Linked DNA regions of Notamacropus eugenii. The protein of the gene in region 3 interacts with the protein of the main gene of each other region in a biochemical or structural test. Links are inferred from orthologs where the notes say so. Each region holds a gene or a part of one and is shown on either strand. Other genes may lie near its edges. The genes, in order: SLC22A12, SLC34A1, PDZK1 and SDK2.

Region 1 (7,137 bases), about 290 Mb from region 3:
GGAATGAATAGAGTGTAGACTGGCTTTTATGATACCAAGTTGTTAATAAATTGTTTTCCTTACCCTAGCACAGCCGGATTGTTAAATGGGTAAAAGGACATTCTGGGGTTGGGGAAAGGCAGTTACCTTGGGGCAGATATAGATAGGAATTGAATATGGAAACAATGAAATTTTTGGCCAGCCTAAAGTAGCTCAACCACACTAGATAAAGCTCACTACAATGTTTGAGGCAGAGTAGGAGTTTACTAAATGCTTGTTGACCCACCAAAGATGGCCTTCTGCTCGGCTTCTCTTAATCCCCACCCCAAGTACTGGGGACATGCTGGCAAGGTTCTATGTCAATGACATATGCCTTCATGCTCCTGCCCCATGTTGATCAGGAATCAACATGCCTCACCATACTGCAGGACTTGAGAAAAAAAGAGGCTGGTCCATGGCTTAAAGGGCTTCAGGATAGCTTATCACCCAAAGTCCTACTGTGTGCAGTCTTCTTAACTGTCTCAGAAACAAACGTTCCCTTTAAAAATCACTTGATGCTGAGACTTCATAAAGAGCCAGCCTTATTGCCCTCTCTGTATCCCTCACTCTCAACCTTTTCTACTCCTTCATCAAATGTTTGTTAGATGATTGAGTGAATGTATCTTTATCCTTTCCACCTAATTCCTGCAATGTTCACAGTGAAAGAAATATGTGCAGGAGCTAGTCATGGTCCCTCCCCCCCAATAACCTAATGTTATGGATGTGGCAAGAAAGGGAAAGATGTATGTGTGTTTGTGTAATGGAACAAATTGAACCAGAAGGAATGGGTTTTACCAGCATAGTCCAGTATTTCAAGTCACTTGGAAGGTCTCTTTGTTCATCTAATTACAGGATTTATTGTATTTATTGTGTACTGATTAAGCAGACAAAGGAAAGTGAGGATACACGTACCCAGATATCAGACCCCTGGAGGCCCAATGTCAGTTCTGGTTCTGAGAACTTGCCCAGAACATGATCTGCTGAGTCCAAGGGGCACACAGAATGTTAAAGGATCCAAAGTCTTACCCTCAGGAGAACAAAGGGATCTGGAGCCCTTCAAAAATGCATCAGTCTGGGGTAAACAAAGCCTAGTCACTCCTGAGTGCATCAATCATGAGTAATTCAGATAAGGATAGATACAAGGGTTGGCCCAATCCCTTTGGTATCACGGCAATGTTCAATGGACTCACCAGGCTTTTCAGATATCTTCATCTATGTGTTTCTCCTCTTTCCTCTTGGGAAGGGAGCCAGTGTGACTAGACTACATCAAAGTCAAGACTGGTTGAATAATGAGAAAATGCCCTAATTGTCATGGGCAGCATTAGGAGAGGAATGAACCATGACACTGAGGGAATCGAGCCTGGTTTGGTGTCCTCGTTAAACAGTAGCATCCCAGACTTTCTCCAGGATGCTGAGTCACTGAGCAATAAGGAATTTTCTCTAACTCCTTTTCCTCTGGCTCTTAAAAAATGGAGAAGTCAACTATTCCCATAGGGCCTTGGGCATCGAAGAAATTGTTAAAATTGGATAATTCAGCTCAATAAGCATTTATCCAACTAGATTCCATCCAACCTAGAGACCTAGCCTGAAGACCTTGCTCTACAAAATGTGGCTGAAGGAACTGAGGAGAAGAGAATTCGACTGGAGAAGAGAAGATTCAGGGGAAACTGGAAAGCTGTTTTCAATTATCTGAAAGAATTAGACATGACCCCAGAGGCCAGATCCAGGAGCAATGGGAACTTGTTAAAAATTTAGGTTCTCTGAAAGAACGTTTTCTCCCCAGCAATTTAAGCTCCCTCAAAGTGGAATGGATGACTCCAGGGAGAGCATGGGGACTTCACTTGGCTGATTAGGGTCTTCACAATGGATGGTTACTTGTTGGGAATCTCATAGGAGGGATTATATTGAGGCTCAGGTCCCATCTCTGTGCCCAGGCCTGGAATGATCCCCTTCCTCACCTCTGCCTCTTAAGAATCACTGGCTTTCTTCAAGGCTCAGCTCCACCTATGATAGCCTTATATCTATATCTTTCTATGTGTTCACATGGTCTCCCCAGTTCCACTGTCAGATCCTTAGAGGCAGAGAGTTTCTGATACAATCTATGGGATAAGACTTACAGAATTGTTGAGTGAAACAGGTAACGAATGTTAGGCAGTGTAATACAATGGAAAGAGCTCTGGACTTGGAAGGTCACTGGGATTTTAAAGTCTTAGCCCCCCTTTTATTTGCTTAGCTATATGACCCTGGGTAAGTCACTGCCCTTTTCTGGGTCTCAGTTTTCTCATCCATCAAAAGGGAATAATAACACATGTACTATGAGCCTCACAGTGTCCTTGTGAGAACTGGATGAAAGACTGTGTATATAAAGTGCTTTGTGGAGGAAAGTGATATATCAAGGAAGGCTGCCTGGAGGCGAAAACTGGAACATGCAGTGAGTGTGACCTCTGGCCACCTCCCACAGTGTCCCATATCTGACTCCATGCCCAGAGCACTGAACCAAGGGATTGCCTTTACGGAGTTGTATTTCAGGAAAGTCCCAGCCTGGCTTCCCTTCCCTCCTCGCTCTCTGGTCACCTCCTCTACAACCTCCTGACTGGCATCTCACCTCCATCCTGCATGCCCTTTCCTTCTCCCATCCTCTGAAGTCCTAGGATCATGAACCACTATCCAAACACCGGCATTGTTTCTGGATGGGATGTGTCAATCTACTCATCTATGGAGGTCTCTCACCCTGTAACTTCCTGGATCAAACTTTCTCATCCCTAGCCAGCAGTGACCTATGTGTATGATTTTCCCTGTTAGAATGTGAGATCCTTGAGGGCGAGAATTATCTTTGTATCCTTATAGGTGTATCTCTAGCCCATAACACAGTGCTCAGCACGTAGTACTGAGCACATAGCACATAGTAGGTACTTAAATGAATTTTCATCCATTCAGTCAGAAGGCAACATCCTATAAACGACTCTCATATCTGTCCTTTTTTTTTCTATTCATAGCCACCTCCCTAGTTAAGACCTTCAGCACCTCCACATCCCCCTTCCTAATTGGTCTCTCTGCCCGAAGGCTCTCCCCGTCTCCAATCCATCCTCCACAGTTGATGTTCTTAAGGTACAGGTTGAATCATGTCATTCCCTTGTTCAAAAACTGTCCAGTTCTGACTCTGGGCTTTAGGGTAAAATATTTCTGTGTGGTAATTAAAATCCTTCACAGTCTGACTTTCTTTCTAGACATTCAGCATACTTCCTTGATGTTGATATTCTGTCTAGCTTAGTGGAGTGGCTAGAGGGTGGGTTAAATCCTGCCTCAGAAACTGACTTGTTGCTTGCCTGTGCCTCAGTTTCCTCATCTGTAAAATGGGGGTGATAATCACACCTACCTTGAACAGTTGTTGTATTAGTTGAGTTAACCTATGTACAGTGCTTCTTAAAACAAAAAGCAGCCCTACTTCATGAATACAAAGTGTTTTTGCACAGCTTGGTTCATTCAGGGGTCTTATTGTCTCCAAGGAAGAAAACTGAGGCTGAGAGATGGCATGTTACATGGTAAACAGCAGAGCTGTGATTTGTTGAATCATAGGAATTAGAACTATATAGAGAAGATCTAATCCAAGGCCCCTTCACTTGGGTTCTTCAGAAGGTCCATAGACTTGGGTAGGAAAGAAATGCCATCTTTATTTTCACCATTAGCCTTTCCCTCAGTTATTTAAAACCATGATTTTGAGAAGCTACAGGGGTTCATGACACACAAAAAATGCTAAGAACCTCATTTGTACTCTGTGAGAAAATTGAGGCCCAGTTGGGAAAACTGACTTGCCCAAGGTGTCACAAATAGTCTTAAGGACCAGGATTCAAAGCCAGATCTTCAGTTTCCAAGTTCTAGTCTTTTTTCCATAGCACCAAAAGCAAGATAAGAAGAAATGGACTTTAATTGCATCAAGAGGGATTGGGGCTAGACAGTAAAAAAGAACTCTGAGACCCCAAGGGTCATGAGATCCAGGATCAGATTACGGAAGACCGTTCTGGATGGTCATGGCCTTCAGGTAGACGCCCATCTCCCAGCTCACTAGTAGGTGTGGGTGAAATACTCATTTACATCATGGCCTGTGCCAGGGTTAGTTAACCCCAAGGTTAACTGTTCCACCAGTGTAATTTAGTAACAGGGCGATCTGGGACACGGAGGCAGTTTGGCAAAATCTCTTCTTGGATCTTAGCTTTCCCACGGCTTCTAAAGTTCAGCACTTCTTCCAGATTGGCCCTCTCTTGGTTTGAGCCAGAAACTCCCAGAGGAGTCTCTCAGAGAAGGGCCCAGGGAGCACCTGACCCAACTAAACAGAACTTCTGGGAGAGTCCTGATCCCCTCCCTGGAAGAGCTTCCCCACACCAGGTGAAGTCCAGGTTCAACTCAAGGTTGGTATGTGGTGGCTGTGAGTGTTTGTATTGGGAGGGAATAGGGTCCAAGTCAATATCAATCAATGATAGCTTGGTGAGATTTAGGACTGGTCATCTAGTCTCTCCCCCTTCTTTTACAGGTTACACAGATAGTGAGGGGCAGAGCTAAGATGAGGACTCAGAGCCTCTGACCCTGCCTCCAGAGCTCTTTCTATTGGCTGCACCACCTTTGCTTCTTGGGGCTGGTGTCTACCCGAGCTCACCTCACTTTGGGCCCTCATGGCCTTTGCAGAGCTCCTGGAATATGTTGGCAGCTCGGGAAGGTTTCAGATCTCTCAAGTCATCTCTCTAGTCTTGGCTGTCATATGTGTCACCCCTCACAATCTGCTGGACAACTTCACAGCAGCTATTCCTGACCATCGCTGCCGGCTGCCCTTTCTTGACAATGCCACTGCCTTCCCAAACATCACCAGAGGCCTGGGTCCCAATGCCCTCCTGAGGGTCTTCATTCCCCTGGACAAACACCAGAAGCTGGAGAGATGCCGTCGCTACCTGCACCCACAGTGGCAGCTTCTGGAACTCAATGCATCAGTCCCTAATGCAAGCGAGGCAGATACAGAACCTTGCTTGAATGGATGGATCTATGACCACAGTGAATTCACTTCTACCATTGTGTCTGAGGTCAGGGGCTCCCTCTTTCTTAGTCCTCTCTCCCTTCCCCATTTCCATGTGTAGCTCTCTGGAGTGTTGCCTAACATTCGCATAGCTGAGTATATTCCAAATGGCTTGTTTAGGACTGAAAACATTTCCTTCCCATCACATTCCTCCTGATTCCTTCTACTCTCTGTATAGAGGGCCTTGGTTTTGATCACTAGCACTGCTGCTAATGATCTGTGTGAGCTTGGGGATGCACTTCCCTTGCTGGGGCTCAGTTTCCAAGTATGTGAGATGAGATGGTCCCTCCTAGCTGACATCCCTGGTATTCCATGTTCCAAGTCCTCTCCCAGTTGCGACAGTCTGTGAAGTAGCTTCTCTCAACCTCTGCTGTTCGTTTCCCTTCTTCTATAGTGGGATATGGTGTGTGACTGGGAGTTCCTGAAGCCCATGGCTCAGTCCATATTCATGGTTGGCATCGTGATTGGAGCTGCTGTATGTGGCCCTGTCTCTGACAGGTGAGTGTTTTCTGATTTAAGCTGCTCTCACTCCTCTAGTTCCATACAGATCCCTCAGAACCTGGGAACAGAGATGTTGGGGGACCCCTGCCCATCTGGCTCTGTGCCATGGCATTTTTGTCTCACCGAATTGCCCTAGATTCACTTCCTGTATCACAGGTTTGGGCGGAAGCTGGTATTGAGCTATTGTTACCTGCAGCTGGCCATCACTGGTTCCTGTTCTGCATTTGTCCCCAACTTCTCCCTTTACTGCTGCCTGCGTTTCTTATCAGCCTTTGCTGTGGCTGGCATCATGATGAACACTGCGATACTCAGTAAGTATGGTGCCATGGACCTGTCCCAAGCCCTCAGACCAAGACTGTATAACCAGTGAAGTTAGGTTGGCATCCTTCTCACCCCTCAGGGCACAGTTCAAATGCCACCTCTTCTGCAGATTTCTCTCAGATCTGTACCCCCTCTCCAGCTAGAAGCTAACTTTCCACCTAGTCTCATTTACACCCTCGTACACGTAGATGTTCTAATTTATCACTTTTCTGTGTCTGTGTGTCTCATCTTCCCTACTAAACTGTAGTCAACTTGAAGGCAGGGATCATATCTAGTTTAATTTCTCTCAATATCTAGACAAGGCCAAGCATATAGTAGGTCCTTAATAAGTGTTGAATTACTGAAAGACAAAAAGGATGCTTGCATGATGAATGCATGCAAGACTGAATGGATGAATTTATAGACAGATGGATTGCATGCTGCTGAACAGTACAGGAGAAAGGCATTCATTTGCATTGATGATATTTATCACAAATTTATGAGATATAATTTCAACTGGGTCTTCACTGCGGCATGGCAATCTTTTTATTTTTGTATGATTGACTCTCTTTCCTACTTTCCATGGATACTCTTCCAAACCCTTCCCTGTCTCCCCTCTTGTCCTTTCCACCTCCTCTTGACAGAGAACCTTGATTTTTATTCTACTGAGAAAATAGAAACCATCTGTCTTTAGCTTTCTCTCCTCTCCCATTCCATATCTCAAAGCCCCTCTTTTCCTTTCCTTTGCCCTAGTTTGTGATGAAGAAGTGACCCTTTACTCTGACAAAACTAAACTCTCCACTTGGACTCTTTATTCCATCTCCTTTCATCTCATCTAGGACCTTGACTCCTCAATCATTCTTTTCTTCCTCTCATCTTTAATCTATCCTTATCTACTGACTTCTCCACACTTAATGTGCCCATACTTTCCTTATTCTTAAAAGATCTTACTATTCTTGGACTCTGCCATCTCCTCCAGTTATCATCCAATATTCTCCTCCCTTTCACTCCAAGAAAGGGTTGTCTTCTCTTGATTTCTGTTTTCTCCTTTCCCACTCCCTTCAGCTCTTTGCAGTACAGCCTATGACCCCACCAAGGTCTCCCAGTGCATTCTGGGCTACCTTCAGTCATCCTGAGGAATATCAGGTCATTGAATTCAGATGACTCTGGTGGAGAAGTGAGGTTGGTGACCTGCACAGACCTCCTTCACTCAAAACAAAGTCAAGTGCAGGTCATATCATCATTTCTGTGATGGC
Region 2 (6,960 bases), on a different chromosome or scaffold from region 3:
CCTCAAAGATCTCTGATTAAAGAAAAATACTTGGAGACAACCAGTTATCCTTTCTCCCCTAAGTCTTTCCTTCTTCCAGATAAACATTCCCAATGCCTTCCATAGAACAGTGTCTCTGGTTCTTTTATAATTCTGGTTACTCACCCCTGAGTACTTACTAGTTGTCGATGTCCTTCTTAAAATGTGAAGTTCACCTATGCCCAAAGGGCTATAAAACATACTGGTACTAGGTCTATAGCCCAAAGAGGTGGTAAAAAAGGGAAAAGGACCCACATGTACAAAAATATTTATAGCAGCTCTTCTTGTGGTGGCAAAGAATTGGAAATTGAGAAATGGCTAAACACATTATGGTATATGGATGTAATGGAATACTATTGTTCTATAAGAAATGATGAGCAGCAGATTTCAGAAAAACCTGGAAAGACTTATATGAACTGAAGCTGAGTGAAGTGAGCAGAACCAGGAGAACACTGTACAAAGCAACAGCAACATTGTGCGATGACCAATTTTGAAAGACTTAGCTCTTCTCAGCAATGCAATGATCTATGACAATTCCAAAAACTCATGATGAAAATGGTATCCACATCCTAAGAAAGAACTATGGAGTCTGAACGCTGATCAATACATACTATTTTCCCTTGATGTTTTATTTCTCATAGTTTTCCCTTTTGTTCTGATTCTTCTTTTGCAACATGACTGATGTGGAAATTTGTTTAACGTGATTGTACATGCATAGCCTGTATCAGATTGTACACCATCTTGAGGAGAGGGAGGGGAAACATTTGGAACTCAAAATCTTATATAAATAAATGTTGAAGACCAAAAATAAATAAATAAATAAATGATGTGAAGTTCACATTTGTGTTCTAAATATTTTTCTAGCTCCCACATGCTGCCATTAGAATTTATATTCTAAAAGTGGTCAAAAGATATGAGCAGTTCTCCAAAAGATACTCACAAATTATTAGTAATTGTATGAAAGTTTGTGCCAAATTGTTAATAATAAGAGACTAGTAAATCAAAATATTTTTGAGCTTTCACTTTACACCTAGTAAAGTGGTAAAAAAGGACAAAAAATGGAAATAGTCAATATTGAAGGGGCTGTGGAAAGAAAGGCACACTGATATACTATTTGTGAAGGTGTATAGTGGTCCAGTCATTCTGAAAAGCAATTCAGAATTATGCAAAGAAAATAATTAAAATGTCCATATCTTTTGAACCAGATTTCATTACTGGGTTTATATCCCAAGGAAACTAGGAAATCAAGAAAATAAGAAGAAAATTCCTACATATTATAAAATATTTATATCAGCTTTTTTTGTGATAGTTAAGAATTGGAACAAAGTAGATGCCCATCAATTGGGGAATGGATAAACAAATTGTGGTACATGAATATAACAAAATATAACTGTGATATAAGAAATCATGTGGATGAGAAGTATGGAGAAGCATGTAAAGATGTATATGAACTGATGCAAAGTGAAGTAAGCAGAGCCAAGAAAACAATATACACAGTGACTACAACAATGAAAATGAAAAGAATGGCATGCCAAAAATAAAAAATAAATGTAGCAAAATTATAAAAATCAAATAAGACTCAAATGAAGAGAGATGAGGAAACACCTCCAAACCACACTTTTGTGGAGCTGATAGGTCCATATATATTACACACTGCACATGTTTTTGGACTTTTTCAATGTATTGATCAGTTTTACTAATTTTTTCCTTTCTAAAAAATATTATTTGTCTTATGGGATAGTTCTCTTGGAGGGGGAGAAGGAAACATACTTGGGATAACTACTGTAATGTAAGAAATAGAAACTATCAATTAAAAACTTATTTAAAAGAAAGAAAATTACTGATGTCTATACCTTTTGAATCAGAGATCCCAGTGTAGACATATAATCTAAAGAGGCCAAAGTGAAAAAGAAAAGTCCCATTTGTTGATTGTGATATCTATGGCAGCACTTTTTGTGTTAGGAGAAAGAAATAGAAACAAAATGGATATCCATTGATCTGGGAATGATCCAGGGGTGGGGAACCTGCAGCCTCAAGGCCACATGTGGCCTTCTAGGTTCTTGGGTGCAGCCTTTTGACTGAGTCCAAGTTTTATAAAACAAATTCTTTTATTAAAGGGATTTGTTCTGTAAAGTTTGAATTTAGTCAAAGGGCCACACTTGAGGACCTAGAGGGCCACATGTGGCCTCAAGACTGCAAGTTTCCGCAGCCCTGCAACATATTATGGTATTTGAACATGATAGAATATTACCTTGTTGCAAGAACTCAAAAGTGTAAACAAATAAGAGAAGAATAGGAAAACTTATATGAACTGATGCAAAATAAAGCAAGCAGAATCAGAAAAAGAACACACACAATGAGTACCACAATGTAAATGGAAAGAACAACTATTAAAAAAAAAACAAACCTGAACCTGTATAATGACCAAACTTAGGCAAACAAAAGAGATAAGAAAATGTACTTCCCTCCCCTTGTTGCTGGTGAGGAATTATAGAGATGAAATATTGTACATACCATCAAACACGATTGATGTGTTATTTAATTTCAATGAATTGCTTTTTCTTTCCTTTTAAAAATCTTTGTTACAAAGGACCGTTTGCTGCGTGATGGGGAGGGATATATTTAGAATAAAATATGATATAAAAACAAAAAACATCAATAAAAAATAAGAGATTTTTTTTAAAAATTCTGTGTTCAAAGGTTCCTTTCACATTCAACACTCTGAGTTCCATGATCCCCTACCCACAATTCCTGCTATAAACCTAAGCATCATGCTCACAGTACAATTATTTGTATCCCTAGACTCCACCTCAGTAAGACACCTATCCCTAGTCTTATTGCTGGCCTTTAACCTGTCCATTTTCCTGATCCTCTCTCTCATTATCCTTTGTCCTTGGGTAAAGTGGTTCTGTGTTTATGCCCTAATTCAGGCCTGCACAACATTTGGCCCACAGGCTGCTTCCCATGCATCGCTTGCAGATTGCGAAAAAATCTTGGGTGGCCTGTGAAAAATATAAAGGACGTAAAACAGGTCTATACGTATCTGCAGATAGCTTTGTTGGGCATCAAGAGGCCCACAGGCTTTATGTTGTGCAGTTCTGCCCCAAATGGTCCTCAGGCCACAGAACCTCTGGTCTATCAGAGGACAAGAGTGGGTTTGGCCAAGATCACAGACACAAACCCATATAGTCCAGATTTCCCATCCCTCTAGATTAACCCTATCTGCCTCCAAAAATCCATCCATCTAAAAATCCTAATTCTCATCCCAGGACTAAGTGTCAGGTTGTGGAAGTGGGAAGCTTCTCAAGTAGAGACTGTGTCACCATTACATATAGACACACCCACAAATGCAGGCTCATAGACACACATACACACAATTGGTGCTTAGAACAGCACATAGAACAGCACATAACATAGTAGGTGCTTAATAAATGTTCATTGACTGACAGAAATAGATTCATAAAAATAGATTCATAAAAAGACACACACAAACACATATATACCTGCAAAAGAGATACATGCATAAACGCACAGACAAGGGAGAGTTCATTTGGAGAATTCCTTGGAGAAAAGGAGAATGATAGGAGAAAGTGGGGGGGAGCCCACAGGAGCTAAGTGGGGGAAGGGTAAGAGGTGTGAGCTGGAGGGTACTGAAACTGGGGACTCTCAAAGGGAGGAGTGTCCTCAATGTGTGGGGTTCCAGTAACAGAAGACTATAGGCCTGGGGAGAGTTACTATCTAGGCAGTTCTGATCATGCAGGGGAGTGGGAAAACTGCCCAGAAAGAACCCAGGGGTGGACACCTCCATAGACAAAGACTCCTCCTGACGATTAGCAATTAACTGGGAGGAATTTCAGGGGAGGAGATTAATTAGGTAACTGTAGAAGGTGGCTGGGGTCCTGAGGGACTTTGATCTTGACCTGAGACTATAAAGGTCTCAGTCCCCACAAAACATTCCTACTTTGGCCACAAGGATTTTCACACTCAACTTTCTAGAGTCATAACCCAAGAGTCAAAGCCAGCCTCTGGGCAATCAGGTGAGTGACTGAGGAAGCTGCAGCCTAGGCTGGCTTTCAACTCTCACCCCTTCCAAGTCCCCAGACTCAGGCAACCTTGGCCCCACTCCTCACCTTTGCCCCTTCATCCCACTCTGTGGTCCTCTAGCCTTGATTTCCCAGTCTTTTAAAATCCTGATACCCTTTCACTTCAGCACCCTGACTCCTGACTCTCAGTCCCAGACAACCAGGACTCCCACATTACTTCATTCCCCACCATAGTCCCAAAGTCCATCAATCCCCAACCCTTTTATTCCAGCCCCAAGAGGCCTCCTGCCCCAGCTCCCAGCAAGTGTGTATCGGGTAGGGTTGGGGGTCAGGGAGCACACCGAGGAGAAGAAGGATATGGGGGTTGTGGAGAGGCAGGAATCTCCACTGGGAAGGAAGAATCTGAAAGTTGGAATATCTGGTCCTAGGGATCTCTCTGGTGTCTGTACCCAGGATGATACCTTACAGAGAGAGACACATGGGCCCTGCCCTATCCCCACTGCCAGCTGCCAGTCCTTGCTGTGTGATCCGAGGTGCAGCCTTTGCCTATACCCCCAGTCCTCAGGGTAAGAACAGAATACCCCCAAACCCAGTCTTCCCGCTTTGATAGGGGCTCCATCTATGGGGGTGCGGGGAGGAATTCTGAGGGTCCCAGGCCATAGATCTTGCCTTACTCTGAGCACCTCTCATTGGACCAAGGAGTCTCCTCCGAGGGCCTGCCACTAGCAGGCTGCACAGAGGCAGCATGCTGTTTTTCCATTGTCCCCTCCCCACTTAAATTCCACTTCCCCACAACCTAGGGCCCCAACTGGCAGCAGAGTCACTCAGCTATCTGTATTTCTCCCTAGTTCTACATCAGATTCCTGGAGCCCCAGCCTATGCCTTCCCCACCATCGGGCCGGGGGGCCTTTCTGAGTGTGGCTGTCTGTGTGGAGAGACCCTGGAACACTATGAGCCTGACCCACTGCCCCCCAAATTGACCCTGGAGGATACACAGAAGTCAGGTGCAAGGATGTGAAGGGGATGGAAATTGGGCTCCCTCCCCAGGTAGGGAGTGAGGAAGACAGATGGCCAGGCTGGCCCTCTGGATAGAAATGAGGGAGGAGACCTATATCATTGGGGTCAGTAGGAAAGAACCCTGTTATAGAGGTGGGCCCCAGAGAAGTGGATCCAAAATAAGGGGCCTGTGGAAGGACCTGGGCCACATGGAAGAGTTGGTAGGGGAGGAGAAGAGCAGGAGGGGAGGGACTCACCCTGGGACTGTGTCTCCCCAGAACCAGGGCCATCCCAGAGGCTCCCTTCGGCCTGTATCACTCTCCTCAAGGTTCCCATGATGCTTGTCTCCCTCTACCTCTTTGTCTGTTCCTTAGATGTGCTCAGCTCAGCCTTCCAGCTTGCTGGAGGTATGTAAAAGAGGAAGGGGAGGGCAGGCAGGGTTGGAAGGGAGGTCTAGGAACCATCATGGGACTGGGAACTGGACTTCAGGGACACTGGGCCAAGAGATTCAGAGCCTCTGGCTCAGAGTACCAGGATATGGACTGGGCCTCAGTGGACACTGGGCCATCTTCCGGCCAGGAAGGTTTGGGAGGCTGAGGGGACTGAGAACAGATGGCAGGTCTCTGATGCTGGCAATTGTCTTCAAGGGCCTTAACCCCAACACTTTCTCCCTTTTTTCTGCCCCCCCCTCCAGGGAAGGTAGCTGGTGACATCTTCAAGGACAACGCTATCCTGTCCAATCCTGTGGCGGGGCTGGTGGTGGGGATTCTAGTGACTGTCCTTGTGCAGAGCTCAAGCACATCCACGTCCATCATAGTCAGCATGGTCTCCTCAGGCTGTGAGTCTTGGGAGGAGAGTTAGGGCCTGTGGGTAATGGGGAGTGAGCCGGGGCACTGGGGCACTGGGGCACTGGGCAGGGAAGAAATAGAAGAGTCAGTATGAAGAATGTGGCCTCCACCTTCACTGACATGGTCACCTTCCAGGGATCCCAGCTCCCCCTCCAGAGCCTTGACTTTTTCTGGTTTCCAGATCATTCACCTTGACTCAAGGCACTGAGCCTTCCAGAGCTGCCTGTCCCCTGAACCTGCTCACCCCCCCAACCTCAGAGATGTATGACCCTTGATCTCTGATTTCTCCCCTTGCTCCCTTTCTCCTCTCATTGACATTGAACATCTGAGTCTGGGATCTGGCCCTCTTTTCCTTCTTTGTTCCCAGAAGAGAGCATTTTCTTTTTTAAAAAATTAATTTATTTGTTTTCAGTTTTCTATAATCACTTCCATAAGTCTTAGGTTTCCTCCCCCTCTCTCCTCCCTCCTTTTCCCCTCCCTCCCCAAGAGGGAATGCAATTTTATATGGGTTCTACAAATACATTCTTTTAAAACACATTTTCACATTAGTCATGTTGCATAGAAGAATTAAAAAGAATGGGAGAAACCATGAGAAAAACCAAACCAAAACAAAACCTAAGAGAAAATGGTCTGCTCCATTCTGCCTTCCAGTTCTACAGTTCTTTCTCTGGATGTGGATGGCATTTTGCAAGAGGGTATTTTAGGTTAAAAAAAAACCCCAAAACCTTTTATTGAAATAGTTTGTTTTTATTTTACCTTAATCTTCCAATATGTCCCTCATCTACCTACTCTATCCAAAGAGCCATAACTTTTAACAAAGAATAAAAAAAAGGAAAAGAAAAAAGCAGCTCAGCAGAGCTAACCAACATATTAACTAAATCTGACAGTATATCCAGTGTTCCACAACTGCATCCTCCCACCTCTGCAAAGAAAAAAAGAAAATAGAATATTTTCTAAAGTTTATGTAGAGGAGTAAACTAATCTATAGGGAAGCTTGGTGGTACAGTAGAGAGAGTGCTGGGTCTAGAGTTAGGAAAACTCATCTTCCTGAAGTC
Region 3 (7,872 bases):
CTTTGAAATTCATTTCTTAGCATAGTCACAAATTTAAAGTTAAGAAAGACCTTTAGTAGGGACCTCCAGTCTTTAGAAATTTTAAAAAAAATATATTTAAATTTATTTCATTATTTTCCAATTACATTTTTAAAAAATGTTAAATATTCATTAAAAATTTTTTTGAGTTCCAGATTCTCTCCCTCCTGCCTGCTCCTCCCCCCCTTTGAGAAGGCAAGAAATATGATATGGATTATATAAATCATATAGTCTTAATTGCCTCATTTTACAGATGAGGAAAAAGCCCTGGTTAGATAACATGACTTGCTCAAGGTCACATGGTTAGAAAGTGACAGAGTTGAGATTTGAACCTTGATTTTCCAACTATCAATTCAAATCTTCTGAGTCAGTGAATGGAGTAATTTTTGGAGCAGGTGATTCTCCAGAATATTTCAAGAGGGAATACCTTGTTCTCTCTCTGGTTCAGGGAGATCAGGCTGAGCAGGATGGTCCATGAAGTTCAAGAAAGGAACAGAACTTTGCCACTGTCTTAACAGATCCTCTTCCTTGGAAGTCATGCTGAAGAAGCTGACACACCCAATGACATTTGCTTTTGCCTTGATGACAAACTTGGTATATGTGTTTGTGTAAAGGAAGAAATGAATAGTCTACCTGAGGTTTGATGCCTTCACTCATTTGGTTCTCATTCACTTCAACATTTTCTTCTAGTATTCTCCTCCCAGCCTCCAATCACCCCAAATCCTCTGTTCTTGCCAAATTGGTCTTCTCTCTCTCTACTGGACCTGTCTCATATTGGACCCATCTCATAGTCTACCCATTCCAAGACTGTTACCAGGCCATTTTTCTCTACTCTGCTCTCTGTAAAACAAAGGTATCATCCTTAAGGAAGTTACCTCATCTCTTTCTTCCTCTGTAAAGTGAGGCACTGAACTCTAAATTGGATGCCACCATGACCTTTCTCCAGGACCCAGCTCAAGTCTAACCTTTTCCATGAAGCCCTTCAGATCTCTCCAGCTGACTCTGACCTTTTCTTTCCTGTAACTTAGAACCATCTTTTTCTGTGCTCTTCCTTTGGCAGTAAGTTACATGTTGCTTTTAGAGATCTCTAGTATTTACTGTATTTCCATTTTGTTGGATGAATGAATGGATTTCTGTTGTTTTTGTGACTTTTCATGCATTTATATCTTGTCTCCTCAACTAGTGTATAAGCTATGTGAGGATACAGAGTGTGTCTTGTATTTCTTTGTGAAGCTAGAGGTGGAGGGAAAGGAGAGAGAAGACGTGTAGCCACAGGAAGAAGATAAATAATAGTATAATACATATTCAGTTGAATTGAAGGTAGTACAGGTATACCTCATTTTATTGGGCTTTGCTTTATTGTATTTGCATTTTTTGCATATTTTATTTTCTTTTTTCTTTTTACAAATTGAAGGCATATGGCAACTCTGCATCGAGCATGTTTATTGGCACCATTTTTCCAATAGCACATACTCACATTGTGTGTCTGTTTCATATTTTGCTAATTCTTGCAGTATTTCAAACTTTATCATTATTATTATTATTATAATATCTGCTATGGTGATCTGCGATCAGTGACCTTTGATGTTACTACTGTAATTGTTTTGGGGCACCACAAACTGTGCGACATCAGATGATGAACTTAATCGATAAACAGGCATGTTCTGACTGTGCCACCAACCTGCGGTTCCCCTGTCTCTCTCCCTCTCCTCGAGACTCACTATTCCCTAAGACACAACAGTTTTGAAGAGTACTGCATAAACTCAGTGGACATAGCAGTGGCAGGGTTTAGGAAGACTGACTCCAATTTTGAAACCAGTTCTACTGGGTAGGGTAAAATGGTGGGTAAAATGGCATCAAACAGCATCTGATGCTTCAGAGAAATCTCTTGTGAAAAAAGGATTCAATGATGCAGCAAACCTCATTGTTGTCTTATTTTTTAAAACTCCCACAGCCACCCCATCCTTCAGCAACCTGGTGCCACCCTTCTCAACCAGCAGATATATCAGCATGGAGGCAAGACCCTCCATCAGCATAAAGATTATGAGCCACTGAGGGCTCAGATGATGGTTAGCATTTTTGAGCAATATTTTTAAATTAAGGTACATTGTTTTTTCAGACATGATACTGTTGCACACTTCATAGACTTCAGCATAGTGTAAACATAACTTTTATATGTATTGGGAAACAAAAAAAATTGTGTGACTTGCTTTATTGCAATAGCGATTTAATCTCAGTGGTCTGGAACCAAACCTGCAATGTCTCTGAGATATGCCTGTATATGATCTGGGCCAACTGGGTAACAGAGTCAAGAAATTGCCCACAGGTGCTCTAAGAGCTCACTGGGTGAAGGGAGGGTACTCAGGAGAGAGTCACTGAGGAAGAGGGACTTGATCTGAGCCCCAGGAATAGACCAGGTGGCATATGGATCAGAAGAGGAAACGTCAAAGAGGGCCAGGTGTGTGTGTGTGTGTGTGTGTGTTGTGTGTGTGTGTGTGTATGCAGTCCACATGAAGGTACACTGTGAGCAGAAAACCCAAAACTGGCTTATATTTAGTTATTCATGTGCTCAGGACCCTTTGCAATAGCTACCACCTATGAGGACAGTACATTGTGTCTTTGTGTGTATGTGTAGGGGGAATGTGTGGAGATGGGGGATGAAGGATTATTAGACCACTGAGTCTCCAGTCTGTGGTTGGGTTCAGTTCTCCTTTTCTTTGCCTTGGGGCAACTTGAGCTACCTCTTACCCTCATTTCTAATCGTGGGCTGGGGGATTCAGGTCATCCAAAACCACTGGTGCCAGCCAACCTGGTTGCGTGGGTGATGTTGATAGAGATCTCTGTTTTGTTCATCACTTTGGCTTGGGCTGGAGGCCAGAGTAACCGGTTGGGCCCACCTGTCTCAAGCCAGCTGTCCTGGGGAGGAGGGTTGGGCAGCTTCTTAATGCTGCATTTGGCCTGTTTCTGCTGCCCTCCTCTAGCCACCTCTGTTTCGGTGTGAGGCTCTCCAACCATTGTGGGGCAGGAGGACAAGGAGGCACCTTGTTAGAAGATAAGTGTGGGAGAGTGCAAGGAAGAAATTGCCCATAGGTGGAAGGTTTCTCTGCAAAAAGAGGCAGGTAAAGAATTCAAGGGCTGTGAGTGGGTGAGAGAGACAGAGACAGACAGATCTGCTAGGGAAGATTGCTGCTGCCCTGACCTTAGCCATGTTGTTTGCTTGGCAGGTAGCACTACAACAGGAGAATAGTCAAGCTTTGGCCTAAATGAGGCTGATATCTGGCTGAAACTGATTTCTCTTCTGCCTCAGGAAGAGAACTAAGGAATGACTTGTCCAAGATCACATAGGTAGTATCCTGGATTTGAATCCAGAAGAGCAAGTGCCTTCTACTTTATCCCTCATCCCAGGTTCTCAGAATCAAGGTGTCTGCTGGTGAGCACTGATCCCCCTTCCTTGAGGACAGAGCAACTCAGGTTTGTTTGAGACTTTGCAGTCCCTCATGGCCCCAGCGCTACAGGCCAGCTGGCAGGGAGGGGGGCATAGGTCATCTCAACTTAGACCACAAGGTCCTGTTAAATAGATCAGCTTTTAAATCAACCTTTGTTCAACCAAAGTCCAGCAGGTTCCTAGTCTAGCACCTGTCAGCAGTGAGAGAATTTCCAGGGTAAAATAAAGAGCTTCAGTCCTGGATACAGGTAAGAAATCCTCTTTCCAATTTCTCAGGATGTGTCTTTGCTAATGTAGCTAGGTTGTCTTCATTTTGACCAGAGAGAAGGCACTGGCTGAACTTCCTTCTTCCTCCCTGCTTTTTCTTTTCCTCAAGTAGATAGCCAGATCTCCAGGGGATAGATAGCCCAGAAAGATGGAAACCCTTTCACCTGCTATTCATCTGGGAAGGGAGGTGAGGAGGCTCCTTAGAAAAGACACACTCTAGTTTTCTATGGTCCCTTGGTCTGGGGCATGAGTTACTGTCTAAGGAACTCACCCTAAGAATCAACTCTTTGTCTTAGCTTTCAAGTCAAGGGAGTAGTCTGTTAACTTCCCCTCCTTAAAAATGGCTGTCCTTTCAGGTTTCCTTTTTCTCTTAGCTACTCGGAAGTAGAAAGGGGTAAAAGTAAGCCATAGATGTGATCTTCTCCATAGAACTGCTGGGAAAACAGCCCTGAAGGAGGAGGTGGGTTTACCTAGGCAGCCAGTGGAACAATGGATAGAGGGGTGGGCCTGGAGGCTAGAAGAGTTAATTCAAGTAGTCTCAGATACTTACTATCTATGTGATCCTAGGTAAATCACTTAACCTCAGTCTGCCTCAGTTTCCTTAACCATAAAATGGGGATAATAATAGCACATATCCCAAAGGGTTGTCGTGATCAAATGAAATAATTTTTATAAAGCACAATGTCTTAATAAATACTTATTTCCCTCCTTCTGACCCAAAGACATTCAGATTAGAGCTCCATGGCTAAGGTGACACAAGGAACTGAGGTGATTATTTGGGTCAAGTGGGGTTTTGACTTGAATTCAATATCTAGAAGTATCCTGATAACTTTGTTTTGCTATAAGCTCCTTCTCTGGAGAATGGGGAATGTAGCTCCTTCCCCTCTTTGGGACAGAGCACTTAAAAACTTTTTTGGATGATTGAGAGTCTTTAGCTGATGTCACCAGGCATTATCCAATAAATTATTCTTTCTCCCTTCTTTATTCTAGGGGAGGTTCTGGAGACGGAGGAGATAAGGGCTTGTAAGGCTGTGGTCCTTCACCAGAAGTTAGAGGGCAATTGGAAACTTGGCTGGTGGGATAATTTGCTTACTCCCCAAGCAGCACTGCCTTGAGCCCCTGGAAACCCTGTGTAGGGTCCTGGCATCATGGGAAGTTGTCATGGGTAAAACAGCCCCCACTCTGAGGTTAGGTAGAGTGAATACAAAGTACGTAGAGACTTGTTTATCCTGTCCTCATGTATCTGGCCTGCCTACTTCTCAAGAACATTTGGCTGTGGAAACATAAAGGGTCTAACCATCTTTCTCTCTCTGTTTCTAAGTTAAGGATTGCCTGTAGCCTTTTGGACTGCCAGTGACTTTCTGTACTTATCTCCCGTGAAATCAGTAGAAACCACTCTGCTCTCAGACTTTTCTCATTTTTTCTATTAATACCCTGTCAGACTCTTAAGTGTTATGGAGATTTTCTTTGTCATGAAATTTTACAGGGTTTTAGCTGAAGTAAGTACTGTTGGGAAATACATGTCCTATGAAACCTTTAACTCTCTGCAATCACCCCTCATTGAAAGTGGTAGGACTGTCACAAAGCAGCTGCTGTGACTTGTTAGTGATAGATTTAAATCCGAAAGAGACCTCAAAGTCCAAGCCCTGTCATTTATGCAAATGAGGGAATGGGGGCCCAAGGAGGTTAAGGGACTTGCTTGTGGTTACATAAGTAATGAGTGATAGAGGCAGAATTTGAAATCTGACTCCAGAGTAGGTTGTCTTTCCATTGTACCACAGTTTTCTACAGAGAAATGCTTAATGCTAAGGGCTCCATGTTTGTTTGGAAGAACACTCATACAATATCCACATCTGCTAAGCCACTACAGGTCCCAAGAATCCCTCAAGGCTTAGGATGCCAAGATACTCACCAAGAAGTCTTGGGGGCTCTGGACTGAGGTTTTTAGTAATTGGTAAATCACCATAAATTGATCAAAGAAAATGATCAGAAACCTCATTGTGTACAATGTTACTTCAGCTAAGTATTGAAACTTGTAAGAACATGAGTTCTTATTCTTTCTAAGGACCAGGTTTGAGCTTGAGGGAGTGGGGAAAGGGGTTTTAAAAGTAAAATGGACCACTTGGTCATTTGGGGCCATTTGAAAAGTTTCTCTGGACTGTCTGTATTTTCTTGTATCTAGAAGATACATGGTCTCAACTGACTTGGTTATTGTATGTTATTTTTCTGGTGAGTGTCTGCTAGAACTATGATAGTGATGAATGGTATTTAGGGGACACTGTTTACTCTTTTAAGCTATGGGGGGAAAAATACTGGTGGTTGTAATATGATGTGGTCCCAAGAAGAAAAGGAATCCTTCCTCATTTATTGACCTCAATAAACTGAGCCAAGAGATCATTTGGAAGATCTCTATCTCAGTGTCCCAAGAGTCATATCTCATCAGTCAGAATTAACTCTGGAGTCAAGTATTCATCCTAGTGACAAATAAATAAGAGACCTTGAGGTTGTTTATTATGCTTGATTAAGTGAATCAGCTCTCTGGATTTCATACATTGTTCCTACCATAAAATACTGGGCAGGGTCTCATCTCTAGTGCAAATTACATAGGCCTGGTGGTAGTCAAAGGTCCCTGATGTTGTTCCAAGGAGCTGTTTCTTACTGTACATGCTCAAGCCTTGGCTGAATAACTCTCTCAGGGATGCTATAGAGAGGAATCTGGTGTTAACTGGGAGGTTGGGCTACATGGCTTCCCACTTACCTTTTAATTCAAGGGATGGGAGGGGTGGGGCAGATAGAGCAAAGAGAAATCTAAGTGAAATACTTATTAATGCCATACTCAAATGCATCTCTTGTCTCTGTGCAAATGTATATCTCCCATGCCTGGAATCCACTCTCTTATCACTTTCCTTCAGAACCCTTATCTTCCTTCGTGGTTCAGCTAAGGTGCCACCTTTTCTGTGAAGGCTTGCTCTGATTTCTCATCCTTGCTCCAAATACCAGTCGCTAGTTCTTTTTACTATCTTCCTCTTCAATTAAATAGTATTACAACCTATATACATGTTGTAGCCCTCCCTTCTCACAGAAAACTGTAAGCTACTTGAGGGCAGAAACTTTTGTATTCCCTTCCTTTGGGTAACCAGCTTTTGGAACAGTTGTTGTTCACTTGTTTCAGTCATGTTTGACTCTTCACAATGCCATTTATTTTTTGGTTTTTTTTGGGCAAAGATATTGGAGTGGTTTGTCATTTCCTTCTCCAGCTCATTTTACAGATGAGAAAACTGAGGCAAATGGGGTTAAGTGACTTGCAAGGGTCATGCAGCTTGTCTGAGGCTAGATTTGAATTCAGGTCTTGATGACTCCAAGCCTGGCACTCCATTCATTGTACCACCTGGTTGCCTCTTGGTATAATTAACTTGCACTTACTATGCACTTCTTATGAGCTTATTGAATTGAATAAATGTCTGGAGGTTTGGTAGAAGACATTTATCATGGCTGAATTTCCTCTCTAGGAGTCTTGAAAATTTCTGATGACACTATAGGGATCGAAGAGGCAGGGCTGTAAGTTATCTGTCCTTTTCCTGAAGGGGAATGATTGGTGTCTGAGTCCATTTGTCCATTTCCCAGTCAGGGTACCCACTTAGGTAGATATGATCATTCTATACCAGCATGTACATGTATAGTATGACTTGAACTGAGAGAAGAGTTAGAATCCCCTCTGCTTTACATTGCTATGGAAGTCTCACCTTCAGACTGAATTGATGGTGGAAAGCTCAGAGGACTGGCACAGGACTTGGATTCCCTTAGAACTTTAAACCTTTCCATAGGAATTACTACCTCAGGTTTATATGATGGGAGATAACAGAGAGTCAGTGCACTTTTAGGGACATTAAGTTTCCCCACCTGTCACCTGAAGATGTTTGCCCAGAAGAGTTCTGAAGTTCCCCTGTTAATATTTGGTGACCCTAGAGGAACTGATTGCTGGGGTGGAAATGAGGGACATCTTGGTGGGAAGTGACCACTCCATCCTAGAGTTTGTGATAGAAGAAAGGAAATCTGGGTATAGTTTGGCAGGTGCTCTAGATTTTAGGAAGGCAGATTTCAGAGGGCACAGAGGAAATATAGGTGGAATCCCAACGACTAAA
Region 4 (6,943 bases), about 36 Mb from region 3:
AGTTCTGGGTATTTTATGGACAGAGGCTTAACTCATTTTTTTAATACCTTATTCCAGAACTGTTTCCTCTGCACTTGCCCTCCTTTCCTCAAATATATAGAAACCACCTATGGAACAACAACTCTATTAGAAGTTAACTGCAGCACAGGAGAAAAGAGTGTTAGATAAGGAATCAGAAAGTCTGAGCTTAATTACTACTGGCTTTGCCACTTGTTACCTATATGACTGGCTGTTGTTGAGTCATTTCAGTTGCTTCTGATTTGCTGTGGCCCCATTTGAGGTTATCTTGGCAAAGATACTTGAGTGGTTTTGCCATTTCTTTTTGCAGCTTGTTTTACAGATGAGGAAACCAAGGCAAACTGGATAAAATGACTTGCTCAGAATCACACAGCTAGGAAGTGTCTGAGTTCAACAATTTAGTATGTTTCTGTTCTTGCTTTATGGGTAGCTAGGTGGTACAGTGGATAGAGCACTAGGCTTGGAATCCAGAACTCACCAGATTCAGAGAGTTCAAATCTGGCCTCAGACATTTCCTAACTGTGTGACCCTGGGCAAGTCACTTCACCCAGTTTACCTCAGTTTCCTCATCTGTAAAATGAGCTACAGAAAGAAATGGCAAAACCATGCCAACATCTTTGCCAAGAAAAAAACCCATTCAGGCACTATTGAACAACAATCAATTTGTTGGAATAATTTCTGGCTTGGTATAACTCTGGCTCTTCTACTTGTGAGTTGGGGGTGCCTTGGATCCTGAAATGAGACATTCTCTCAAGACATCTCCCCAATCTCCAATTAAGTTTTTCTATTCTAGCATCTTATGATGATAAACGTCTGAAAAAGAATGGATGGTTTTGGCGTGTGACACCCAGTGCTTAATGCCTACACTTTCAGATTAAAATCTGTTTCTGGCCCTCCAGCCAATTCTGCTCTAGATCTACTGACCACTGGTTTTTTGTTTGAGGGAGTTAAGGTGTATAAGAATAAAGTCACTGAGGAACTGGGTTGTTTATATGTTTGCCTGTGCAAGTAAAGGTACACTTGCGCCTTTTACTTTTACCTGTGAATTTAGTTGTGATATTTCTATTGCCTCTTCCCTCAGCTGAGACAGAAGCACCTCAAGAATCTGATCCTGTGAGTCACCATCCTGGAACACACCAGGGTAGATATGCTTGGACCATGTCCAACAAACTTCCTTGTTAACATAGAGCCTAACTGTTTCAAGTTCGACTGCTTTGCCAGTTTGTATCTCTGAGCTGGGCTGGGGGAGAAAACGTGGAAGTCAGAGCCCTGAGTGACTAAAAGTAAGGTGGTACAGTGTTTATCTGCCTGTTTTAGGTGGGGGGTGAGGGGGAGAATAGAGGAGTCCCTAGGCCCATCCATGATCTCTCCCTTGCCTACTTTCATCTCATGCAGTTACTAATTGGAGTTGGGCTGGGGTGCTTGCAGCCAGGATGAGGTGTAGGTTTTGATGAGAAGATACCAGATTTGGTCTATGTGAGAAGGCTGCAGGCCTGCAGAGAGGCCAAACTCCTGGGCTCATTACATCAAATGTCCCTGGTTCTCATTCCAGAGTCTTTGAGATTAAAGTAACAAAATGTTCTAGATCAGGAGTTCTTAATGTTTTGGGGTTTTTTTTTGCGTGTGTCATGGACTTCTTTGGCAGTTTGGCAGAGCCTAAGGTTTCCTTCTGATAACAATTCTTTTAAATACGTAAAATAGAGGATTACAAAGAATGCCAATTGCATTGAAAGTTATCAGAAAAAATTATTTTAAGTTCACGGACCCCAGATAAAGAGTCCCTGTTCAATGTGAAGACTAATTTCTCTTTGCTAGCGAAGGCAATAAGAACAGCTCAGTAACTGGGAAGGGACGGAAGGGGGTCCAAAGAAAGAGGGGTAGGACTAGATGGGGTGTCATACTCGGAGGGCAGGAAAGACAAAGAGTTCAGAGACTAGCCGCAGTGTATCTCCAGGCCACGCAGACACACACTGGTCCTTTGATTCGCAACAGAAATAGGCAGACAGAAAACCAGTCCAGGTCCATCAGAGGAACTGCTACAGCGCCATCACCTGTTGAGACTTCCAACCAAGGTAAAGGGGACCTTCTCTCCATCCCGCCCCCCTCCCCCCCCAACCTAGCTCCCGGGCGAGCAAACGCTTTGTGATGACTCAGGGTGGCTCCTTTGCCTTCTCCTGAGCGGGGGGAGGGGGGCGGGGCGCGAGGTGACCGAAGCTCCAATGCCACGTTCTTGCGCCCCTTATGGATCCCAATCTTCTATTTTCCCTGTTCCCTTTCCAAGTGTTTCCAAACCTTTTTTAACGCGCACAGGAGAACTCTGTTCCTGACCCTCCCCTTCGGTTTCCCCTACCCTGTTGGCCTTGGCTTGTCTCCGCCATGCCATTTCTTACCCAGGCATTAAGCCAGACTGGGCGTGTGTGAGGAGGTGGGTCCCCCCCTTAATGGACTAGGACTGAAACTGGGGGAGGGGGGCATGTGAGGGGCCTGAGAAGGGCTCCTGGGAGGGACAGAATGGGAGTGGAGGTGATGTAGCGCTCTCCCTGGACTCGAAGTGCCTACTGCACGAAAGCGGATTCCTGAGACGCGGGGGCTGTGGCATCGGAGATAGATCGTGTCTGTGCGGGGCTCACTCCCGCGCCCCCGGCCCTCCTTCCTCCCCCTCTGTGCGCGCAGGGTTGCTCTCCAGTCGTGGCCACAGGGTAGCGCTCGGCCCCCCTCTCCATCTCTCCCTCCGCCTCCGCCGCGCTCGTCCACGGCTCCGGCTCCCCCCCGCCGCCGCTCCCGGCTCGGCAGAGACTCGAGCCCCAGCTCACATTGCAGCCGAGCCCAGGGAAGAGGAGAGGAGCGGCTGGATAGGACGAGCGGCTCCGCGGCGAGACCGAGCGGCGTTGGCCGGGGCCGCGGCGGTTCGCTGGCCGTGGGGACAAAGGTGCTTCTCCTCTTTCCCGGAGGGCGCGGAGCTGGGGAGAGCTGGCTGAGCGCCTCGCAGACTAGACTGCAGCTTTGCCTTCTTCCCTGGATCTGTCCTCTCGGGCTGGGGCCAGGGACTCCGGAGGAGCCGGGCAGAGCCGGCCGTCTCTCGCGCCGCCAGGCCAGGCGGAGCGCTCAGTTCCCTGGGTGCCGGCCGGAGCGCGCCCCTCAGCCACACCAACTTCCCCCGGCAGCATCGGGGTTGGTGTGGACGTGGTGCAGCCGGAGCTCCGCAGCCGAGCTGCAGGACGTGCAAAGTTTGCTAGCCGGGTAGGCGTGGAGCGGAGAGCTTGGTCCCGGCGGCTTCCTTCGGCATTCCATCCGCGGGTGAATTCTCTGTGCCAAACGGGTTGGGGTGGGGGCGCAGGAAGAAAAGGGAGAGAGTGTGTTAGGTCGAAGCGGTCTCTGCCCGACTTGATGCGTCCTGCAAAGTTAAAGAAAGAGAAGGAAACTTGAAGACTTGGATCGATGTACCAACCTACCCCTAAACCCCGGCACCCCTAAAGTATCACCTTCACTCTCCAGGCCCCCCCTCCCCCCTGCCGCTCCATACTCCTCCAGGCGCTGGGACCTGAGGCCAAACCTTTCAAAGAGCGAGGACTTCGCCTGGAAATCCAAACCAAGGGGCTGGCGGGCGGCAGGCGGAGGGGGCGGGGGGCGGGCAACGTGGCCACCGGAGGAAGTTTCTTAAAGTTGTCCATTTCTCCCGGAGCTGGAGCTGAGGCTGCTACCCTGCCGGGGAGCCGCCGTGGTAGCACTGCCTTTTGGGGGAGAAGGGGACTGGAAAGGAAGTGCTCAATACCAGTGAGGGAGTAGGGGGCGGCTAGCCCTCCCGGCCCAGTCCAACCCCTTGTTGCTCTTTGTCTTCTGGGAGATTGAGCTCGGAAGAGACAAGGGGGACATCCGTTCTACCCCTTGTCTCGAGTACACGGTCCCGAGAACTGGGGCCCCTAATTGATTCACCGTGGGAAGAAGCCGCGGGGTGTCGGACCCCACAAGGATTATAAAACGTAAAGAGGTGAAGTAGGGAAGCCCGGAGGGGCACCTCGACGTCCCGAAACCATGCGAGGACCCCTGCTGTGCACCCTGCTGGTCCTGCTGCGGATCCGTGCTGCCGGAGCCCAAGGTAAGAAGGCACGTGTGGTTTGGGGGACCCCGCGATGGATTTAGCGGCCGTCGCAGAATCCACCCCCGGGCTTTCTGGGACTGGACTAGGAGTCCCTTTTTTGGGTTGAGATCTTTCTGGGGCGCCTTTAATAGAGGCAGATAAGGAGATCAGAGAGCTAACATAAACTGAGGTGGAGAGAAGAGCCGCTATCTCTGAATTCAACTGGACTGGGGTTGGGGGCTGAGGGGAAGCTGAGGGATCGTGAGGCTCCCCGCTCCCGTATCTTCCCCCTCCCCACCCCACCTCCCCAGCCCCAGTTCGTGGTGTAGTTCTTCAAGACTGGAGTTCACCCATTCTGTAGAAATGCCTAGCTGGGGCAGAAGGGGCGAGTTTATGCCTCTAACCTGATCAGAGCCTTCTTCCAGCTCTGCTCCCTGGGGCTGGGAGAACTGGGAGAGCTGGGATCTCCGTCCTCAAGAGCTGTGTCTTCCTACCCTGTCAGACTGGGCAGGGGAAAACAACCTGTGAACAGCTCTACGACCTCCGGAGCCGGGCAGTGGAGGGGAGGGAGGCATGAAATGGGGGTGCGTCGGTCAGGTTCATTATATCAAAAGTCTGCCTCTTCCTCCATACTGCGAGTGTGATCCTTGTACGTACATACCCCCACCCCTTCTCATCGTCTTAGTGTATATTGGCTGAATCCACAGTGTTTGATCTCGGTATGCACAATAGCTCTCTGTAGCTATATGTATGTACTGATGCCTGCAGCCACAACTAGTTAGGGGTCTCTGAAAAACCTTTTCCCCACACCCACCATGACATCCTCCCCTCACCCTTCTTGCACTGTCTCCTGAGTTGCATTGGCCTTAATGTATATAGACATCAACTGATCAACAAGTATTTATTAATTACTTCCTATGTACTAGACACATTAATTTATGGGGGGGGGGGAGATGAGAAGTTTTGTCCTTGGTGTGTACCCATGACAGAGGAAGCTCTCAGACTACTCCTGATCTTCCAGGAGAAATGGGATGGGTGGGTGTGTCTGGTTTGGTGGAGGGTGTGTCAGTCGGGGATTACACTTAATGTGCCTCCTTTCTCTCCTTCCTAAAAGAGATTGTGTGTTTGAGGTGAACCTAGGAATACCTGAAGGGCATAAAGAGAAAATAAAGTAAACAAAGAAAGAAAAAGACAAAAAAGGCAGGAACCCTTAGGTCCTTGTTGCTTGACCTTGGGAGAAAGTATAAAGTACTGTGTGGGTTAAGGCCCAGCAGTAAGTATTTTGAACAAAAGGTAACTGGATACCTCCTTTGTATCAGGCAAATCCCTATTAGAGCCCATGTCTCTTCTCCAGGGAGGAAACTGTGGATCCTAGGCCAAGGGAGAGAGGGTAGTAAGTTAATGATATTGTCCAAGGAGATCTAGGAATATAGTAAGAGTTGATGACATAGAATCCTTCTTTCTCCCCCAGCCCTAGAATGAGAAGGGATTAAATGGGAGGGGGGAACTGGACATTTGTTCCCTCTTAGAGACTTCAATTACAGTCTTTAAAAACAAAACCAACTCTTGCCAAGAGTGAGTTGAGTGGCCTGGAGGATAGAAGATGATTGCTGGGAGGTGGAGATGGGGAGGAAGGAATGGGGGTGGGATGGGTGAGTGGGGGCTTAATTATGCTCTGTTTTGTTTTGCCTCCTGACTGCTGCTTTCAATACTGCTGCTTACCACTAGGCAAGGCACTGGAACGGACACTTCCCACAATCACCCCTGTGTGTTTCTTTGTTGCTCAGTTGTTTCTGACTCTCTGTTACTCCATTTAGGGTTTTTATGGGAAAGATATAGGAGTAGCCTGTCATTTCTTTCTCCAGTTCATTTTACAGATGAGGAAACTGAGGCAAACAGGGTTAAGTGACTTGCTCAGAGTCACATACCTAGTAGGGGTCTGAGGTCAGAATTGTACTCAGAAATATGAGTCTTCCTGATTCTCAGCCTGGCACTCTCCACTGTGCCACTTACCTGCTCTTGTGTTTCTACTAAGACTATAGGTGTCACCACACTCAGGTCTTTAAATGTTAGTGCTGGGAGGGACCTTTGAGATCATCTGATCTAACCTCCTCATTGGACAAGAAAGAAATTCCTTTCCAGAGAAGGGGAAGTTACTTGTCCAGGGTCTCCTAGCTCTCATTGATTGGCCTATGGTAGGTCCCAGGCCAAGCCCTACTTGGTCATCGTTTGAGCCCTCATCAGTTCAGAAAGAATACAAATAACAGTTGTTTCTGTTTTGGCCAAAAACCTGAGGGTCTTTTCTCAAATAATTTTTTTTAAAGAGGCCATTCTTTGCCTTATTTTTTTATTAATCTTTAATCACTGAATGAGTGCTGCCTCAGTTAAACTGAGGCCTGTTAAAGACCTTAGCTTGAAAATGCCCAGATCCTCCACGCATTGCATCCTAGGCCATCTCCAGTTGTCCATATCTGCCCACCAGACCCAGATGGAGTTGAAAGTGAGAAGCTATTTAGTGGCAGAATTAGAATAGAAACCAGACTTTCAGATGAGGAGTTCTAGTCTTTGTACCACCATACTGCTTTGTTGGTGTTGTTCAGTTGTTTCCCACTCTCTGTGACCCCATTTGGGGTTTTCTTGGCAAAGACACAGGAGGGGCTTGACATTTCCTTTTCTAGCTCATTTTACAGATGAGGAAACTGAAGCAAACTGGGTTAAGTCATTAGCCCAGAGTCACACCATTGGAAAGTGTCTGAGGTCAGATTTGAACTCAGGAACATGAGTCTTTCTGACTCTAGACCACACACTCTTATTTACTCTGCTACCCAGCTGCCTATACCACAATGC

The links.
Region 1: the proteins of PDZK1 (region 3) and SLC22A12 form a complex in vitro, tested with the Homo sapiens proteins (2 studies listed by BioGRID and IntAct, with this or other methods). The link is inferred for Notamacropus eugenii from reciprocal best matches to the Homo sapiens genes PDZK1 and SLC22A12.
Region 2: the proteins of PDZK1 (region 3) and SLC34A1 form a complex in vitro, tested with the Homo sapiens proteins (2 studies listed by BioGRID and IntAct, with this or other methods). The link is inferred for Notamacropus eugenii from reciprocal best matches to the Homo sapiens genes PDZK1 and SLC34A1.
Region 4: the proteins of PDZK1 (region 3) and SDK2 interact in a test that uses a peptide from one of them, tested with the Homo sapiens proteins (2 studies listed by IntAct, with this or other methods). The link is inferred for Notamacropus eugenii from reciprocal best matches to the Homo sapiens genes PDZK1 and SDK2.

The regions. Positions count from the first base shown.
Region 1 is NC_092873.1:17,299,139-17,306,275, forward strand, and holds the start of SLC22A12 (solute carrier family 22 member 12), read left to right. Parts: upstream 1-4,126; 5' UTR 4,127-4,401; exon of another isoform or gene 4,402-4,428; intron 4,429-4,546; 5' UTR 4,547-4,685; coding exon 4,686-5,087; intron 5,088-5,474; coding exon 5,475-5,578; intron 5,579-5,737; coding exon 5,738-5,892; intron 5,893-7,137. UniProt on the Homo sapiens protein: Electroneutral antiporter that translocates urate across the apical membrane of proximal tubular cells in exchange for monovalent organic or inorganic anions. Involved in renal reabsorption of urate and helps maintaining blood levels of uric acid.
Region 2 is NC_092872.1:414,518,523-414,525,482, reverse strand, and holds the start of SLC34A1 (sodium-dependent phosphate transport protein 2A), read left to right. Parts: upstream 1-3,950; 5' UTR 3,951-4,055; intron 4,056-4,489; 5' UTR 4,490-4,515; coding exon 4,516-4,627; intron 4,628-4,909; coding exon 4,910-5,065; intron 5,066-5,335; coding exon 5,336-5,464; intron 5,465-5,751; coding exon 5,752-5,895; intron 5,896-6,960.
Region 3 is NC_092873.1:303,013,180-303,021,051, reverse strand, and holds the start of PDZK1 (Na(+)/H(+) exchange regulatory cofactor NHE-RF3), read left to right. Parts: upstream 1-4,870; 5' UTR 4,871-4,891; coding exon 4,892-4,895; intron 4,896-7,872. UniProt on the Homo sapiens protein: A scaffold protein that connects plasma membrane proteins and regulatory components, regulating their surface expression in epithelial cells apical domains.
Region 4 is NC_092873.1:338,819,987-338,826,929, reverse strand, and holds the start of SDK2 (protein sidekick-2), read left to right. Parts: upstream 1-3,936; 5' UTR 3,937-4,050; coding exon 4,051-4,114; intron 4,115-6,943.